Drosophila melanogaster: one gene and its partner. The protein of the gene in region 2 interacts with the protein of the main gene of each other region in a pairwise test. Each region holds a gene or a part of one and is shown on either strand. Other genes may lie near its edges.

Region 1 (7,464 bases), on a different chromosome or scaffold from region 2:
TTTATATTAGCTGGTACTATATAGAATAAATAGTCTGCTCGCTCAGCTACTCTGTAGATTATCACAAATGGTTTTTAATCGTAATTGTAATTGAATACAAAAGGACGTAGTTCGCCTTAAATATAAATAAAGTTTGATACTCGAAGTATTTATATGTCGGACATAATGGATTTACACCCACAACTACCTGTTTCAAATGCAAATACTCATAAAGCATTTTCGGCTCCCACACTCAACAACCGTCTATTCCATCTTTTTCATTTTGACTTTTCTGAATCAAATTTTACTCGTTTATTTACATTTAATATTCTTTTCAACATTTTTATGGAAAGGAAGCTATGTTAAGATGCGTATTAGAGATTAGGGTACCATTAAAAATAACTCATGATTATATTTTTTGATATTCTTTAGTAAATCAAATTGTTTAACTTATAAAAATAACGCGCTTATACAAGGTATGAAATTATTTAAGTATTAAGTATTAGTATTTATTTAAGTATTAAGTACACATAATTTCATAGATTTTTAAAGAGGACCATCAATAAACAAATTGCCCATCTAAGCTCAAGATATTGGCGGAGTGTTAAGAGGTGAAACTTTCGCATGGGGGAGGCCATTACATCACAAGATTGGTCGACTGGGTCTCGAGCACTTTTGCTCTATTGTTGAGCGCATTATTAAGCGCCGCTTAGCTTATGTAATTAATGTCAAGCCAAATGGCAGTGCCAAGAGCCCGAAGTGGAGAGTCTAATGAACCAGCTGCGTGTGCTGATTTATATGCGACTTTTTTAGCTGGTTTGTTTGTACACAAGTATGTTATAGGTCTGTCTATCTGTCCCTCCGTCTGTCTGACTGTTTGTTTGGCCTGGCCAAATTGTGTTTTGTCACCGTCACCATCACGGACGACGTCTCTCGATCGCGCACTTAGGCCTCGTTTATGCGCAGGCTCTGCTCGATACTCCAGTTTCTTGGGCCATGTGAATGTGACATAAGTCGCCGGGTGTACGGCCATGATATATGAATATGACAAAGCGACATGGACAACTTTATTGGCTCATGAAAAGCGCTGTCACTGCTTGACTGACATAAATCGCCGAACGGCAGAAATAGGCATTCAGCGCCACAAGAGCCAATCGATTGCTGCAAAAAAAAAAAAAAAAATTGTCCAAAAAAGTGTTTGGCCAAAATAAATCAAAAATCAATCTTTTCGAAGGGCCCCTCGACGATCATCTCTGTGCGGTGGTGTGGGCCACAGTGAAATCTAGCGCAATCGAGCGATTTGCATAGGACAGAATATGCCGAATCGATTGCATAGTTCTTATCTGATTGGAACTGTCAACCCAAGCGGATATTTCGCTTCATTCATGGGCACGGACAAAAACTCATATGGAAATTAGAGCAACAATTGGACATCGTGCAACGTTTCTAAAAATAATAACCGTGTGGAGCCTTCATTGACCAACAGACAAACACACAAGCCCACGTCAGGAATGTTAGCAAGCGAATGCACGCCACCTATCGGGCGAACTGGGCGTATCCCGACACGCTACCCCCTCACACACACACACACACACACACACACACACACACACACACACACACACACACACACACACACACACAGATTTTCGTATCTGAAGCCTTGTTCTTCACTTTCCCTTGTTGTGTTTTCACTTTGGTGACGGGTACTCATAGGCTACCAGGGTATGCCAGCCATTAAGTGATGCTCAGGATCGGTAAACATTCGATTACACATATAACCTTTAAGTATGTTATATTTAGGCAGCCCTAAATGGGACTGAACATTGAACTAAATATTGAAGCTCTATGATTATATCCTAAATATGTTAGATAAACCATCTTATATATAGTTCAGTAAATAAATATATACATGTGTTCAAGCAAACTGATTACACTGATTGGTCAACATCTGAACTAAATTTTGTATAATTCATCTCAGTAACAGGTACTCGCTGGTCTAAGCTCTCGCTCGTCGGTGCCCCACCTTATTTTGTTGCAGACCTAGAACCCTTTTAGCTTTTGGCCTATAACTACCTTAACTATGACTATGGTAAGTGTGCGCCCAACGCGCATGACCTCAGCAATTTCACTTCACTTGAAGTGCAAACGCACATGCAAACTGTGGGGCTCCAAGTGCTCCATGGGTCCGGTTGACCAGTCCAGCTCAGAACGGTCCGGTCCTGTTGCGTGCCCAGTAAATGGCAATGGTAGGGATGTGAATGGGGATTGTCGGCGGTGGTCGAGTGCCGAACTGACCCTTCACTTTAGCAGCGAATGTTTTGGGTCAGTGCTCAGTTGCGTTGAGTTCGTGACCAAAGGCGGGCGTATTTCTTATACCCAATTCATAATCATATTCATATTCGATATAAATAAATCCTCGGCTGTTGCTAAAGCAATCCACATCGATTCCCGCTCCGATCGGCATGGTTCCGCGATTGTCTGGCTCGAATTGAGAAGAAGTCATGGGCTGTGCCAGCAGCACTCCCATGGTTGCAACGGCGGGCAGCGAAATGCTGAAAGCCGCCAGCCATGTCAAACAGAAGGGCGAGGCCGTCGTGGAAGGTGTGTGTGCTTGTGCTTTAGTGTGTGTGTGTGTGTGTGTGTGTGTGTGTGTGTGTTACCAATCCGTGCTGGCCATTAGTTTAAGTGTTGGCCAGCAGATGACATTTAGGAGTGTGCGGTCGAAGGGCAGTTGCAAGCTGGCAGTCGGCGTATACTTGATATTTCGAGCGGATACTTAATTTTCGGCGAAGGACAGTCTTAGATCTAAAGTCAATTATTTGATGTTAAGGTTTCTAGAATTGCATTGGATTATTTTTAGTTGGCACTAAATGTGCTACTCATACTACTACAACTACTAGTAGTTCAACAATGATGGATGGCATTGAGCAACTACTCCTACTTCGATAAACTAAAGTCCTTGACCCCTGGCCCAAATCAATATTAAATCCATCTAATTACCGGCCACCAACAATCTAGTAAATTCCCACTTAATGCCAAAAAGAAATTCGATACATCCAGCCGCAATGTATGTAATAAATTTGGTCGTACTTCACATTATTATAATAACAAGCCACGTAATAAAGGACAATTGGCCAGCGCAATGCGTGCCGCGGAGCCTTTTTTGGCCTGATTTTTCGCCATTTGGCCGCCTTTCAGAGGGTCGCAAGTGAAAGCTGGCTCCATTGCCATCACCCGACCATATTTTTATACATTTATTTAACGCATATGAAGAAAAACGACTTGGTTGCGTGACCAGACGTCAACGAATTAGAGCAAAAACATTGACTTAAAAATATTATACTTACATGTGCACTGAGGGAAAGTACTATTATTAAATGCGGACTAAACTGTGCAAATTGGCTTCAATTATTCGAATATAATGTTTTTTTAAATGAAAATTCGACACCAATTCACGTTTCATGTCTCGTTTAAAAAATTATTAAAATTTTTTCTTTAAACTAGTCAAATGTGGTGTTATTACATTTATTATTTTCTTACTGCACATTTATATACTACTTATATATAAGCACTCCCCTGTCGGAATCGACAACTGAAAGTGCTTTCATTCCCGTGCTTTCCTTGCAGACGCCTCTGAAACACTGACCACCACTTTGGACACGGCCAAGGAGACCGTTGGCACGGCGGTGGCGGGAATTACCACTGAGCTGGGCAACGCCTTCAAGGAGGGCACTCAGGCTCTGGACGAGGCCAAGCACAAGGTAATGGAGGGTCTTCACCTGGAAGAGCCCCAGGTTTCCGAATCGAAAACAGATCCGGTAGAGGCAACGATGAGCAGTTCCCGAGCACCGACGCCCAAAATGCAGGAAGATACAGATAGCCTGAAGACCTCCACTCCAGAGCCGGAGATCGAACGGGCTCTGGCCAACGAGGAGGAGAGCCCACCGACTCCGAAACCCTCGCTGGAGGAGATGGTTCTGATAAGTGCCGAAGTCTCGCAGGCAACTGCTGCTGATGCGCCTGCAGTGGATGCACCTGCCTCGACTGCCGAGCCTTCATCAGCTACAGCAACAGAAGCAACCGAATCCTCCGCTGCCGTGGAGTAAGTAAGCCTAGAGAGCACCTGAAGCATCGCAAATCCGTAATCGCTAACCCGTAACCCCCGTAGCCCCATCGCAAATCCGTAACCTGTAGCGCCACTGCACCCTGAAGTTTTCGCGTAGTTTGTACCTGCAACGTTCGCTTATGATTCGTAGTTTCCGTCGTAGTATCCCGATATTTACATTTATTATGGCCTAATCAACATACTTTCTCCTCTCTCTTTTCTTGACTTGTATGTAAATTGTAAATAAACTTACTCTACTTCTATGTACATATCATATACCCTGCCTTTGTTTACTTGCGACCTCAGCAAATATAACTAACAAGAACATCAACAGCAAAGTCATGTGCGTAGTATTGTGGTAATATTTTAAATATATTTTATACGTTCATTAATATTTTATTCGGTTTGTCGAATAAGTGCGTAATTGCAGAACTAATGACCATAATATTAAAACCTAAAATACATTAACAATTATATCGTTTTGAGATCGTTAAAGATTTGCAAATACCACTTTTACACACACACAATCTCACTTATATACTAAAAAAAACTAAACACACCACCAAAAATTTAAAAAAAAAAATTAATACACTAAAAGACCATCCACACTTAAATTTTTATACACTGAATACTAATCCCCCAGAAGTCGTAAAGTGCGCCGCAAATTGGTCAAAACGAATAAAACGAATGATGAGGAGCATAGACCCAGCACCACCGAGTGGGAGAAATTCGCAGATCAGTTAGCCAAAAGCAAGAAGTTTAAGCCCTACGAAAGCTTCGCCCACGGTCAAAACAAGTTCTCCGTTTACCAGGATCACACCAGTCTGAGGGATAAGCCGAATCACTACGATGGTCATTTTAGCGGTGAAAACTCACAGAGTGCCTCCCAATCGGATTTGTCCAGCGGCCACATAACTCCAGCCCCCACTCGCAGAGGGCAACGGGAGTTTGCCAAATTCGTGGGTTCCGAACAGGCGGGTAGTATATCCCGGTCCAGTTCCAGGCTCTCGAATCCTGCCACTTCCAGGACCTTCGATTTCAATCCCCAACGCGAACGCATCAGTCTTTCCCTGGCCACTCGCATTGGTTCCGGTATTCAAAGATCTCCTGCCGAACGGGTTTCCGGTTGGGGTAGAGGAAGGCCGGCTCCCTTGGTGGAGGAACCTGGATACGGACGCAGAATGAGCACTGGAGTTATTCAACAACCCTTGATAGCCGGAAGAGAGAAATTTCTAGGCACTGGAAGTCGCCGGGCAGTAAAACCCATAACCCCGACAAGGGAAAAGTCTTCTAAGAAGCAGCCTTCCAGGATTATTTCTTCGCGAGAGTCATCTTATTTGGATTTCGATCCTCGCAGTCCACTAAGGATTACCAACACTTTACCAAAGGATGTAGTACGGTCCAGAGAACCATCTTTGAATGAGTTTGATTCCATTAAAGCTCAAAGGACGCCCTTAAAAGGACAAAAGCCCTTTACTAAGGCCGTAGTACCACTAAAGTCTTTGGAAACCAATCACAATCCTTTTAGGCTACACAAACCTTCAGTAAAGGAGACTGTTAAATCTAGAGAGCCATCCTACATAGAATTTGATTCTTTCAAGGAGGATAAAAGTCCTCGGAAATCACAAGCTATGGAAAAGAAAATGGTACGCTCAAGAGAGCATTCGTACCATGAATTTGATTCCTATAAAGCACAAACGAGTCCTTTTAGAACTTCTCTACCTATGCAATCAGATGAAGCCCCGAAACTACCTCAGAATCTCACCAAATCAAACAATATTCCAAAGGAGCAATTACCGCACAGAGATCGCAGTCCGAGTGAAGCAACTCAAACTTCAACAAATCAAAATCAATCCTCTGCACCTCAATCACCTAAAAAGACAGACACTCCAAAAGCTGTTGTTTCCAAATCAAAGATGTTATCACCACCGATTTCCAGGGCTTCCAGCGCTAAATCCTCAGACAGCAGCAATTTAGATGTGATAATCCGACCAATGAGCAGTCTGAATACACCTAGTATAAAGTCCTTTACTCAGTCACCGGATCAAGTTGTTATGGAAGGCTATGAAGATTGCGATTTGGAGGCTGCGCTAGCCAGACTGGAAATCTTGAGAGGATCAACGGCCACATTGCACTCCCTAAGATCCTGCAGTCCTGGCAGGCACACCTATACAGCCTCCTTACTAAGTTCTCGACGTACCTCTCCTTGGGTTATGAGAAAGAATTACGGAGGCACTCTTGGCCATAAAATAAAGCCAAAAGAATTGGTGGAGTCTCTGGAAACTCCACAGGCCACTCATAAAACCCTCGAACGCTGCGATATTTGCTACAATGAGTTTCTTATAAACTAGCTTATTCCATGACCGAGGATAATAGCAAATGTTGAGCTTGTAATTCTTTTGAAATTCTTATATATTTATTAAAATAAATTTATACACGAAATTACTGCCGTAAATAACTGAGAAGATTGCTCAAATCTACTACTTTTACTTTCATTTCGAAATATCATAAATGAAATTTTAGTTAGGTACTTAAGAAAATGTATATTTTTTATATAACATAGAATAACCACATGCCTCATTGGGTTATCTAAATAAATTCCACCTACATATTTACGCTGAAAATAAAAAATATATGTACTAATAGATTGTTTAATATTGTGCAATCTCACAAACTAAGAAGTTGTGTGCCATTGCAACGCTTTAATTACAAAATTTTTATGGCAGGCAATTTGTCTCCCGGGAGTTCAAATCAAAACCGAATCACCCTGCAGTAGGATTTGGGTTCCTCTAATTGATGACTTAATAACGAAATTGAAATGTTTATCTTGCCGTTCACTCAATTATTCTGCCACTTGTAGTTGCCTGCCTCGGCGGCAGGCGGTATGAAGTTCGATTTTACGTTTTACGGCTTCACGTTCCCCGTAGCCGTGATTCCACATGGCTTCCACATCCACATCTCCCGTCCGTGACTTAATGAACTATTAACAGCAATGATAGTAATTTGTTGCAGCAGCAGCGGTGGCGGCAGCGAATGAAATTGCTTTCGGGCAACAACGAGTTGTCTTCATGGCACTTTTTGGCAAACAAATAGACAATTCAACAAAGCGACATGCAGACAAATGGCTACAGTGGATACTACCAGCAGCAGACATATATCTGCTTGGCTTTTCGCGGGGGTGTTACCTATGTTTTCGTTTTACTCACCCCCCACCGCACTTTATGCACCTGCTTCAGCCTTTTGCCTGCAAATTGAGTTTGACACTGGCATCTATTTTGGCACGATTTTCAAATTACGTACATTGACTCGCAAAATGTTTGCTTTATGCCGCAATTAATTCCCAGGCGGAAGAAACAGTGCCCCACAGGGGTGAGCGG
Region 2 (4,702 bases):
AGTGCGACAAGTGCCACTTGAGAAAATGCTTCTTTTTTAGCGATGGGGCATACCCATCCGCTAGCATGAAGGGTGCACACTCGACTGGTAAATGCTGACACCAAAGACCGGCTCAAGTATTTTGCGGGCAAATAGTCCAGAGGACGGGACACTACACCCATCTACCCATCCACACACACCCGGCATGTGCCCACATCCTTAACCAGTCTGAATATGCTCGTAATAAAAGTCACTCGAGTGACATTTTTGAGCTTGCGGCCATAAAGTAAAAGGCAAACAAAGCTCAGACTGCTGGAGTTCCTTTTTCAGTCGCTGTTTTTAATCGATTATTGTCGCGTTATTGTTTTTTATCCCCCATCTCTGCGATGGCAAACAAATCCTGTCTGAGTGTCGCATTGCAACAACAATGGGCATGCTGCAAAAAATGCAAATGCAGAAGTCCCAGCACAAAAGATTGTACATTGAACTTGTGCCGTATCATCATCATCTCTTCGGGGGCGGAAGTGATTTTACGGGGGGGCGAATTGAAATGTCCTCGCATGCTCCGTGACATCATATTCAATATACGCGCACATAATCCCGATAAGAGCGGGGTCTGAGATATGGTTACCTTCGTTTATCTTTCCCTGCTCCTGAGGCTTTTATTTCTACCCTACATCACGCTGTTCTCGTTGTTTTCGTCACGTTTTGCGATCGGCGATAAACCCAATGGAAAACAGCTATGTCCTGCAGCAGGTCCTTCGTCGTCGTTCTTATTTTCAGGCAAGAAATGCACGCGCCGGATGTCGTTAAAATGGCGACCGCCACTTCCGGTTGGCGGAATTCGCGGAAATATGTGAACTTACCTGGAAAGTAAACAAGAAGAAATGTGCAAATTTTCGATTAGTATGTTTATGCCGCAGGCTTAAGAAAATATTTTTTTGTGGGGAAAACACAATCACAAGATTGAGATACATAGTGTTTTAAATATAAAGAGAATGTTAAATCGAATTGTGGCTTGTTGAAATGTTCTTGCATTCAGTTCAATAGCGTTTCATAAAAGTTGGTAGCACGTGTTAAAACGATTTATTTTATTTATTTTAAATACTTTTGTTATTTCCGTCCGTAATGAACGAGTATTTGTGTTATTTAACTATACATTCAGAAATATTTTAGGCCAGTATATTGACCTATCCCAAAAAAGATTGAACTCCCGTCATCGAGTGCTAAATGGTACAAAAACTTGGTCAGTGGCACAGATTCCTCTCTTGCGCTTCCCCTTCCCATGACCACTTACTACCAGAACTTTTGTTGACCCAACAGATTAACAGCTAATGGGAGGGCACTCTTCCAGTAATTCCCGTCAACTCAGGCATTAACAATTACTTCTCGTTAAGAGAAATCATCGAAGATGAGAGTGAGAAAAAGTGTGAAGTTCTGCATATTAATAAGCCGAAAAATGAAAATGGTCAAAATATTGTGGTAAATGCCTGGCTTTCGTTCAGTACAATTCAGTTCGGAATTCCAGTTCGTCGAGGAAAGATCAGATTTTGAAAATATGGGAAATGTTGGACATTTGGCAGTCGTTTTGCAGGCAGGTGACTATCATCAGCATCATGAACTGCGGGAGCAACAGTAATGTACACGGACAGAAAATATCAGAAAATGTTGTTGTCAATTGATCAAAAACTAAGTGTTGTGTCACTTTTGAGAAAGTTTATGCATAATAAAATCTTTTTTAAGACTTAATTAAACAGTGCTATGAAAATGTGAAAAATCATAAAAAAAACACCTTTTTAAAAATCAATGATTTCTGGTTTTTCTTTGTGTGCCTTACTCATTTGCGGATTGGTCTAGTTGCACAGTTTCGAGACTAATGCATTTTCATTTCGTTGACACCAGTTTGTTTGTGGCTCGCTGCAGCAAAGCTGAAAGCGTCTGATTACAGGCCTGGTTTTGAGGACTATAATGTCGCTGCAGACAACAATCAATTGCAGCAGGAGGAGAAGGTGATGACTATGGCGATGGCGATGACTCCGGCGAAGACGAATCCGAGCCCGAGACCCGCAGTGCAAGTAAAAGTGACAAATGAAGTGGAAAGTGCCCTCAGAATGGGAACAATGATGATGCGGATGAGAAATCGGGGCGGTAAGCGGTTGCAGGCAAACTACTTTGACACACAAATGCCACTGCTGTCGTCTGGCCTAATGAGTCCCGGCCAGCTGCCAATATTGGATGAGCAGCATGGGCGGCAGGAGCAATTGGAGAGGCATTACTTGGCCCACGGGCCCAGTTCGGTTGAACAGCAATTACTCCGCCTGCAGCCGGACTACAAATTGCTGTACAGTGCCGAGCACCACACCTACTTCCACCTGCATACCCTGGTCCCGCAGGACAATGCCAACCGCCAGACAGGACCATTGAAATCCGAGAAGGAATCGCCACATCGCCGGCTATTCCAGCAGGTTGTGGGCAACACGCTGACCGCCGCCTTTGGCCTAAACGTGATGAACAAGGGGGACCAGGAACAGAACCAGCAGTTCACCAGCGAACCGGTGAATCTCTACGATGCCGCCTCGTTGCGCCGGTCTCGCTTCAGTCCCTTCAATCCCACCAGGTGAGTGCAGCCGGATGAAAGCTACCCGACCATTATCTGTGAGTTTTGAGAGCCATTTCGATAGCCAATTTCGGTTTTAAAGGCCCTACGGCCAATGGAAACTTGTTTTATTGTATACAAACGTATTGGGGTTGCACTCAAGAATTATATGATTAAGATATTTCATTCAAAGTTCAAAATAATATATCATACTTTTCAGAATCCTCATTCACGGCTGGTTGGGTAATGAAAATGCTAACATGTACAACGAGCTATTGCCAGCTTACTTTGATCTGAGAAATGGCAACTACAACATCTTCACTGTGGACTGGGGACGTGGAGCCATAGCGGACTACATAACGGCCAGCTATAGGGTCAAGCCGGTGGGTCAGGTTTTGGCCAAGTTCGTGGACTTCCTGCATCAGGAGGCGGGAATGCGTTTCGAGGATCTTCAGCTCGTCGGATTCAGCATGGGCGCACATGTGGCGGGACTGGCAGGCAAACATTTGCAGACCGGTCGCCTTCGGATGATCCGAGCTTTGGATCCGGCTCTACCCTTCTTTCGGTATGCCAAACCAAAGGAGCGGCTGACCGCCGAGGATGCCGACTATGTGGAGGTGCTGCACACCAGTGTGGGCAGCTATGGATTTGATCGACCCGTGGGTCATGTGGATTTCTATGCCAACTGGGGCAGCCAGCAACCAGGTTGCTTTTGGCATGAATGCAGCCATTGGAGGGCATTTATGCTGTTTGCCGAGAGTCTGGCAAGGGATCAGGCAACGGGCTTCTTATCCCAGGGCTGTCCAGCTGCTGAATGGCAGCAGTTGACCCGATTCCATCGCTGCCCAAAGGACACCGGAGTTATGCAGACCATGGGCGGGGATTTGGCCAACGTGTCGGCGGAGTTCTTGGCCCAAAGACAGGGTGTCTATTATTTCCAAACAAACGACCAGCCACCCTATGTTTTAGCGCAAAATGCAAGCTCGAAAAGGGCGGCACACATACAAGAGAACAAGAAATAAAGAGCGAAATGGCTGAGAGAACGTAATGAGCAAAATGCAAGTGCAGTTCGCGTTTTTATTTCTAATTAGTAAGTGCATGTGTACTATACACACTCACGTGTGTGTATTTGTGCTGTCCCATTTCTAAAAGCCGGCTGGCAAAATTAAAAAATGCTGCCATGTGTAAAATGCTTTTCATGCCAGTCGCAGGCAGTAAAAATAGCAAAAAAAAAGGGAGTAAAATTTATGAAAACATCCATGCAGGAAATAGAAGGAAGAACACAAAACCGAGTGTAGTTCAGTCTGGAAAATCAAAAAAATAGGAACCGAAAAATCTTGTCTGCCAGACAGCTCGGAAAATTAAAAATTGCATTCCCTAAAACTTGTATTAAATGTATTTTGTAACTACCACATATAATAAAATTTAACGAAAATGTAGCAAGCCATTTTTGTACTGATCAAGCTGTATCTAAGTTAAGTTTGAAGTGTTAAATAAACAAGCCTAATATAAAAGTTGCGAACAACACCAAGCTGAGTAAAAAAGCTTTGTAAAAACAATGAAAAACTTCTCGTGAGTCCCCCATTAATGTTTCAGCCTGCATGCTGGCATTATAAATTCAAAAACTTGGCTTAGCCGGCAAGTCAAGGCTTAAATGGCCAAGGTAACACGCTCCTGCAAAACATATAGCACACTTTGGGGCATTGAGACCTTGGTTCTGGCCAAATTGTCGCACGGCTGCCGCTAATGTGATTTTTACGCATCATTTGAGTGAGCAGCAGTCCATTGGCCAAAGGGCACAAAAACGTAGAAAACTTGGCAGCTGGCGATGGATGCCATAGAAAATTACGAGAACAAATATTGGCAAAAGCAAGACAAATATGGCGCACAACATTCCCTTGGGTTGATAAAACGAATGAGAGGAACCGCAAGAGTATTTATTTTGAACATTTTTGTAATATGTTAAGTGTATTTGAATTCGTTTTCCGAGAAATTGCATATATAAAATGTGCTCGCTGAAACTTCACTGACTTGACATGACTGAGAAAAAGTCTATGAAAATATTTAAATAAATTGTATAAAGCTGGCACAACTTCACAAATTGAAATGTATGTGAAAAGTTTGATG

The links. The genes of interacting proteins can lie anywhere in the genome.
Region 1: the proteins of CG4582 (region 2) and CG14837 interact in a two-hybrid assay, tested with the Drosophila melanogaster proteins (one large-scale study listed by BioGRID).

What each region holds. Positions count from the first base shown.
Region 1 is NT_037436.4:7,554,842-7,562,305, reverse strand, and holds CG14837 (uncharacterized protein), read left to right. Parts: upstream 1-2,268; 5' UTR 2,269-2,483; coding exon 2,484-2,583; intron 2,584-3,609; coding exon 3,610-4,084; intron 4,085-4,730; coding exon 4,731-6,438; 3' UTR 6,439-6,526; downstream 6,527-7,464.
Region 2 is NT_033777.3:25,580,362-25,585,063, reverse strand, and holds CG4582 (uncharacterized protein), read left to right. Parts: upstream 1-1,884; 5' UTR 1,885-2,099; coding exon 2,100-2,596; intron 2,597-2,795; coding exon 2,796-3,597; 3' UTR 3,598-3,841; downstream 3,842-4,702.